Oreochromis niloticus: one gene and its partner. The protein of the gene in region 1 interacts with the protein of each later gene in a pairwise test. Links are inferred from orthologs where the notes say so. Each region holds a gene or a part of one and is shown on either strand. Other genes may lie near its edges.

Evidence for each region.
Region 2: the proteins of dachd (region 1) and rnf14 interact in binary tests that used the Homo sapiens proteins (3 or more experiments, as listed by UniProt). The two-hybrid records come from large-scale screens. The link is inferred for Oreochromis niloticus from reciprocal best matches to the Homo sapiens genes DACH1 and RNF14.

The regions. Positions count from the first base shown.
Region 1 is NC_031987.2:22,932,734-22,936,655, forward strand, and holds the start of dachd (dachshund d), read left to right. Parts: upstream 1-1,116; 5' UTR 1,117-1,376; coding exon 1,377-1,933; intron 1,934-3,922. UniProt on the Homo sapiens protein: Transcription factor that is involved in regulation of organogenesis. Seems to be a regulator of SIX1, SIX6 and probably SIX5.
Region 2 is NC_031975.2:20,394,223-20,398,144, reverse strand, and holds the start of rnf14 (E3 ubiquitin-protein ligase RNF14), read left to right. Parts: upstream 1-1,461; 5' UTR 1,462-1,618; exon of another isoform or gene 1,619-2,235; intron 2,236-2,242; 5' UTR 2,243-2,250; coding exon 2,251-2,401; intron 2,402-3,132; coding exon 3,133-3,263; intron 3,264-3,390; coding exon 3,391-3,544; intron 3,545-3,922. UniProt on the Homo sapiens protein: E3 ubiquitin-protein ligase that plays a key role in the RNF14-RNF25 translation quality control pathway, a pathway that takes place when a ribosome has stalled during translation, and which promotes ubiquitination and degradation of translation factors on stalled ribosomes.

The DNA of each region.
Region 1 (3,922 bases):
AACTGATTGATTTGTTAGGAAAGGCAGGAAGTGAGGTTTTCCACCTCATGATGTACCTTAGTGGTTGGAAATAAATGTGCAGTTAAGTGTATATGAGCTGCAGCAAGACACTTGCACATGGACTTGACCCTGCACATTTCTGCAGTGCTGTTATTTTCCCCCTCTCTCTTATCTTTCTTTCCTGCACTTCCTGGAGTTTATGGCTTTGTGTTCTTACTGGTTTATTTTCAATATTCAGTTCTAAAATATTATAATATTGTTTAATATTTTAAATGTTTCTTTTCTGAGGTTTTACCTTTAAGTGCATGAACTTTTTAACCCCTAACTTACATGACATTTTTTTTAATATTCACCTGACTCCTGTGAAAAGTATCATGGGGTTTGAGATGGACAGTACATAAAACTGAGTGGATGCACTTAAAGTGAAAGATGATATAAAGCTGTTGGAAATCAATCTTTACTGTCTGACTTCAATTTACAAAATTACCAGAAAATATGCTACCTTTATGTAATCTATACATTAACTTTTTAACCCCTAACTCACATGACAGGTTTTTTAAAAAATATATTTAAAAGCTTTATATGCAATTAACTGCACATAATTCTTACAAAAAAAATATTTCACAAGAAAAAAAGTTACAGCCACTTTGGATGTGCACATAAAAAGACCAAACATCCTTCCTCACAGATGGAGTCTGCTAAAGTGATTCATATTGGCGTGTATTCTGGGGAAATATGACAAAAATTACCAAAAATAACGTGCGAATTAAAAGTTGTTTTTTAAGCGTTTGAGGGTTTAAAAAAATTGTTTTAGTATTTGCACGAAAATGAAAGCAAAAGTTAAAAAAAAAAAAAACATTACTCAACTCTTGATCGCCATAGGTGAAGTGAGCTTTGCATTAATGTTGGCTAAAAGGGATTTAAAAACATTTTTTTTAAACAGACGATTTTCTTTACAACTTATGATCCAGCATAAACGTATTTACTTTGGGCAATGAAATCATTTAACAGACGTGAAACATGCGAGCAGTGGCCGGAGCCCAGTTATCTGCTCTTCAAAGGCTCCCACTGTCCCCTAGCTCCTCCCTCTCTGTACCGTGTGACAACAACAACTCATCCACAGAGCGGAGCTGCACTTTTCAGCTCATTTTCCTCCTGTCATTCCTCCTCCTATCTTTGATCATTGTCCCGCCGCTCGCCCCCCTCCCCAAAAGAAAAAACCCTCACTCAGCACGCCTTTTTTTCGGTAGCTCTTTTTACTTTCCAACTTATCTGAGGAGCTAAACTCTCGTGGATTCTTTCATTTAGGGGTATCTCGGCAGGCTGGGTTTTCTACTTTGAACTTCGGCTACTCTCTTCCCCTCTTGTAGGTGACCATGGCCGTACCGGCTGCTCTGATCCCACCAAACCCTCTGGTCCCACCGCCTCCAATCTCGACTCCTTCCGCGACGACGTCCCCGCCGTCGACAACTTCATCACCATCTCCATCCCTGGCCCCCCCATCGGGACCCGGACAGAACCTGTTCAGATCAGAGCTCCTCGCAACCAGCAGCCCGGGCATCCCGACCCCAACCGCGGCTCTCCCCCCGAGCAAACCCGTGTACTCGACCCCGTCGCCTGTTGAAAACATACCGCAAAACAACGAGTGCAAGATGGTCGAGTTGCGCGGTGCCAAAGTCGCCTCTTTCACCGTGGACGGCTGCGAGCTCATCTGCCTTCCTCAGGCTTTCGACCTGTTCCTGAAGCACCTGGTCGGCGGACTGCATACGGTCTACACCAAGCTGAAGCGGCTCGAGATCACGCCGGTTGTGTGCAATGTGGAGCAGGTCCGCATCCTCAGAGGGCTCGGCGCCATCCAGCCCGGCGTGAACCGCTGTAAACTCATCTCCAGAAAAGACTTCGAGACCCTTTACAACGACTGCACCAATGCGAGGTTAGTGGCGAGCTCTGCTGTGCATTTTTCTTTTTCTTTTTTGGGGGTTTAAATGTCCGCACACACGGCCGTGCGTAAAGGCGCAGGAGCTAGAAAGGGGGAGACATTTTGCCTTTGCAAAACAAGCGGTCAGAAACGTACAATTGTCTTGGCCGAATTTAATAATTGATTCTTATAAGGAGTGTGTGAAAATGCGCGCGTGTGTGTGTCAAACTCCATCCCAAACACCGAGGCTGGTGTGTTTGGGCAGGAAGAGACCGGCGCGCTTCACCAGTGGTAAAGAGAGAGGGGGAAAAAAAAGTTAAGTGAAAGTTTTTTTAACACGTGCAAGGCAAAGCTGTGCCGTGATGGATAGCCTGTCTCCCTCTGAACAAATGAATCGATAATGTAGGCTACACCCTGGTTGAGTTTCACACTGCTGTTGAATAAACTTTAGGTATACAGCTGCCACCACAAAGATACAACCACAAATAAGAGCCTCTCATCTTTGCTTTCCTTTTTTTTTTAAAACTCCAATTTCTGTTTAATTTTAGACAGCTTTTAGCTCAATTTTATTTTTTTAATGACTGAAATAAAACTAGGCTATGCCTCATTATATGTCCTTGCCACAGGGGGTAGCATGATTTCAATTAGAACTTGAGTTTTCAGACAGTAAACAAGAAGGAACCAGAGTATTAGAAAAATAAAAGGGCCAGCTTTTTTCTTGTATGATTTTTTTTCACCCCCCTTTAGTATTGATGACATTTCTCAGGGAGGTTACAGTGCACTAATGGAGGAGCCTTCTTTTCTTTTTGCACACTGTAAGTGCTAAGGATAATTCATGAGAGCACTCAGTTATCTGTCTTAATTAAACATACTTGATTTCACTAAATCAAATGAGGCAAAGGACTATGAGTGTTTAAATAAATACATTAAACCATTTTGACCCAGTCAGTTATTTTTGGAGTTTTTTAAAAAATATCTTAAAATCAGAGTGATTTAAAGCAGAGATCAATATTTGATTAAAAGCCTTTTTAAAAAAAATTATTATTGTCCTGTTGCTCCTAGCTTTGATGTATCGCTCAGTCTCACAGGATGGTTCAGCCTGGTCAAATTTACCATCTTACCTGTCAGTATGATTGATTCCATATTGATCTCCTGGCTCTAGAAATGAGCTGGAAATGCAAATATGATGGAAAGGCTCACATCAGTTGGGATGGTGAGAGGGGAGGAAGGGTAGCAATAAACACTTTTGAGTCTCAGTTTTTGCAGCATGCATCCTTTTTTTTTTTTTCTTTTTTTTGTCCCCTCCAGAAAAAAAAAAACAACCGTGTGAGGTCGAACTTAATTCAGAGTTCGGATGCAGCGTGCAAATATTCACACAGACGCGTACACAAAAGTTGCTGCGCAAGCATGTTTTTTTTTTTTCTTCTTCTTCTTTATTGCCAGTTTGTGTCATTAAGAAATCCACGTGTGATAACATTTAGCATATTTGAAGCCTCAAAGTGTTGCTGTAACTAAAAAGGTACATGTGGAAAAAAACAGCAAACAAACAAACGAAAGAAGAAAAACAACAAATCAAATAGCACGCGCAGCACTGTGAGGAAGTCTGAGAGTGATGTTATTACAGTGACGAGGCTGCTTGTCGTGCACTTCAGATGTTTAAATTTATGTTACAGCATTGTGTTGCAGTCTATGCTTTCAGTAAACACCCCCCTTTTATTCTCGCGTATGAATATGCTGCAGTCTTATATTTCCATCCCACTTGCAGTCGTCTCAAAAGAATCACCTGTGCACTTTGGTGCTTAAGCATCATTTACATAAAGCATCAAGAGAGCACAGCCCCCCCCCCCCCCAAACACACACACACACACACACACACACACACACACACACACACACCATAGAGAGAAGCATACAGTGCGGTGATCCTCCTCTCAAGCCTGGCGTGGGGCTTCAGGTGACAAAGTATGTGGTTGAACTCTCCGGGTTGTCAATGGGGGGATGGCC
Region 2 (3,922 bases), on another chromosome or scaffold:
CATGAAAAAATAGTGCTTTTTTTTTCCCCCCACCACAAACAATTGTAACTTTGGATTATAACGTTATTTCGTTTAAGAGGAAGCACGGAGTTTCTGTTGAGTTTACTTGTACTGTATGTTTGAACTATATACAAGTTACTGTCATGCAGTATTTCTTTGTTGAGCTTTTCTCATTCAAAAGCACTGGTATGTTTATTGTTCTCTGGTAGCCTTGAATTTTTTGTTTTGGGAGGGGTTTTGTTGTTTTGTTTTTTTGTACTTAAAAGTGTGAATGCTGGTGCAACAAATCACCTTTTTGGGTGCTGCTGTTGTTGCCACGTCACCAAAAAGAAGCAAAAATTTAAAGAAATAAAATGACTTATAGCTGACTAAAGTGATTTTTTTTTTTCTTGAACACAGTAGTTATTGCATATCCTACATCCAGTTTTCAGAAAGAAAATAAGGCTTATTTTAATGTGGTTTGCAAACACTCTACAAACATCCTGCAACCTTGCACAATACACTGCTCCAAAAAATTAAACACTTTTTAAGCAGAATATAACCTCAAGCCATTTAAACTTCTTGAATATTGATGTGGTCAGTTAAGTAGGACAGGGCTGCTAGTTTTACATTTGACCTACCCTGTAGAAGTGGCGGAAGTAGTCCAACTCCACCAGGATGGCACATCAGTTGTCACTGCCAGGTCTGCTGTATATCCTAGAACAGAAGGCCATTCTTAACCCATCAATAGGACCGGTATCCGCTCCGTTGAGCAAGGAAGAACAGGATGAGCACTGCCAGAGCCCTACAAAGTGACCTCCAGCAGGCCACTGATATGAATATGTGACCAAACAATCAAAAACATGCTTTGTGAGGAGGGCCTGGCGTCCTCTAGTGGGCCATGCGCTTACTACACCATTACACCACCAGCAGCCTAAAACATTAATACGAGGCAGGATGGATCCATGCTTTCATATTTTTTTACACCAAATTTGGATGCTGCCATGCACAGCAAAAATTGAAATGTGACTCAGAAATGGAGTGGCACCTGGTGTGGTCTCCTGCTGCTGTAGTGCATCTACTTCAAGATTCAATGCATTGTGCTTTCTGACATGCTCTTCTGCATTTCTTTGTTGTAAAGCCTTTTTTTTTTAAAGGCATTTTTAACAAGGCATTTTCTTACAGAGAACTGCTGTTCATAGGATATTTTTTATTTGTTCAGACCTTTCTCTGTAAACCCAAGACATGACTTTGTAGGAAAATCCCAGCAGATCAACAGTTTCTGAAATACTCGCACTCGGAATATTTTAAATCACCTGTCTTCCCCATTTTGATGCCCAGTTTGAATTTCAGCAGGTCACTAAAAGCACTGCATTTCCATGTGATTGGTTGATTAGATATTAGTATACGCAAGTAAATGAACAGGTGTACCTAATGAAGTGGTGTATGTTTACTAAGATTTGTACAGTCTTACAGAAGTGCAATATTTATTTAAATACCATGAGGTCGCTGCTTGTTAGCATAACAAAATTGCAAGTAAAGATGTCATACACTCACAAGCCTGGAGGTGACGCGCCTTCACCGTAGCCATGACAGAAAGAAGTCAGGGCAGGAGTCATTAGTGCTTTGGCCGCATAAGGTAAGAAACATTGCCTTTTCCATAGTTAATTAGTACTTAGAGGCTTAGGGATCTTATGCAGGGATTCTTAGTTGCGTAGACGAGCTAAAGCGCTGTGTTGCTGCTACAGAAGAAAAGTTAGAGGACGGCCGAGATCCCCAAGAAACCACCGTTTGAGCTAGCACAGCAAGCTAGCCTGGATGGGTTTCCCCTAGTTACTTTGATAGTTACGGAGCTGTCTTCTGCTTTGAAGCTGACTCACGGTTCAGATTTAGCTGCTGTTAAATTAGAATGGAGTTAGGAATACGTCTGACATAGATAAGTAAACTTTTTCTAGCTAGCTTGCTAACTTTTGGGCCACATTGTAGCATGACGTTAGCTACGGTAAGCTGACGTTATGTCACAGGAAACTGTGTACTTTGCTCTCAGGTGATTAGTCATTGTTATATAAAAAGAGTCCCGGGAAAACCACGGTTAACCAAGCTGCAAACTGTGAATGCAGGAAAACGTCATGTTTCTAAGGACAAAATGCAAGTTGCTACTTTCGTTTTTAGCTTTCTGTCAGTATGAACGTGGGCTAGCGGTTTGTTAGGCTTTGTCATGATATTTCTAATAATAAATGTTTGTCACACACTGTTAATGCAGGAATGTAAATGTCTGAGGACAAGGAAGCCCAGGAGGATGAGCTGCTTGCTTTAGCAAGTATCTACGATGAAGAGGAGTTTCACCGGGCAGAGTCTGCACAGGGGGGAGAGATCCAGCTCTGTCTGGAGCTCCCACCAGATTTCAAAGTGGTAGTCAAAGGTACAGCTGTCCGGTAGGCTTTGCACAGAAAGAAAAGTAAGCTGTGGGGGGAAAAAATCTGACAGGTTTCATAATAATAAAGCACTTTTCAGGATGCGTTGGTGGAGATGGGCTAACCCTAACCCTCTGTACCTTAATATAATTTTATTAAGATGGTCCAGATTCCTGAAAGAAATGGCAATGGTGATAAACATGATGAAAGCTTAAGTTAGGTTTAAAAAAGTTACTTAAAAGTTTAAATTATTAGTTTGTTTTATTCAAAGATGAGAGATGGCTTTTTCAAACTGCATGTGGCCATTTAAGATTTCTACATTGATATTTTCATCTTTTCATTTGCGTCCCACAGCATTACTCTCTCCTCCCTCCATCCATCTCATCCCCCCCTCCTCACCTCAAGCCTCATCTGTACTGAAGTCTGGACTTTAACATAAGAAAACTTGCATAAACATACTTATTTATTACTGATATTATCACAGTTAGCGTCAGCAAGTTAGACATGCAATCCTCCCCGGTCTCCATGCAGCTGACAACAAGCTCGCTAAACAACAACATGTTGGACTCAAGTGTCCTAAAAATCCAATTTTCCCTATATAAATATTTGATAACCTTTTCATATCGTATGCGAGTTTGGCCATCCACAGCTAATATGGGGTGCAGAGGGTTAATTCAGTTATTCTCTCCTAATCATGCAGTAATAAAAAATGTAATGAAGTCTCTTCTGTCTATCACAGGAGAGAATAAAACTGAATATAATGTCTCCTTCCTACCTCCTTTGGTGGTCAACTTTGAGATTCCTGCAGACTATCCCTCTACATCCCCACCACTCTTCACTCTCAGCTGTAAATGGATGACCAGAGCACAGGTACGGACTCATAACAACTCAGATAATCCTTTATTATGCCACAAGAAATACTGGACATGTTGGGATATTCATGTTGTGAGTCAACAGTACATCGTAAATATCAAAACCTTTCTCAATGTCACCTCAGATGAGCTCTCTATGCCGACGACTGGATGAGCTGTGGGAGGAGAATCAGGGCTGTGTGATTCTTTTCACATGGATCCAGTTCCTCAAAGAAGAGGCTCTGGGCTTTCTGGGTATCCAGTCGCCTCTTGAAATCATAAGGGGAGGAAGTAAAGCAGGTAATGAGTGAAGAAAACCCGACCGTGCAGTGAAAGTTAGAGCATAGATACCGCACACCACACACTATGCACATTGGGAAAAACTGACTCAAAACATTAGATTTGTTAATGTTATTTAACCTCGCCATGTCTTCTTAGTCGTTAGCTGAAATGATCCACATTCCACTATAGCATAACATGCACACTGTCAGTGCTTTAGCTGCACTAAGCCTAAAATGAACATTTTGGGTGCTTCTCAGTAGCAGAATACTTGGTGCACACATAGTCATCCTGGGTGTGAGGATCTCAGTTTTCTCGTTGTTTTGCTGATGGCTCCCTAACATCTGATTGGTGGTATCCACTTTTTTCCCCTGAAAGTTGAACTGGAAAGATGGAAGG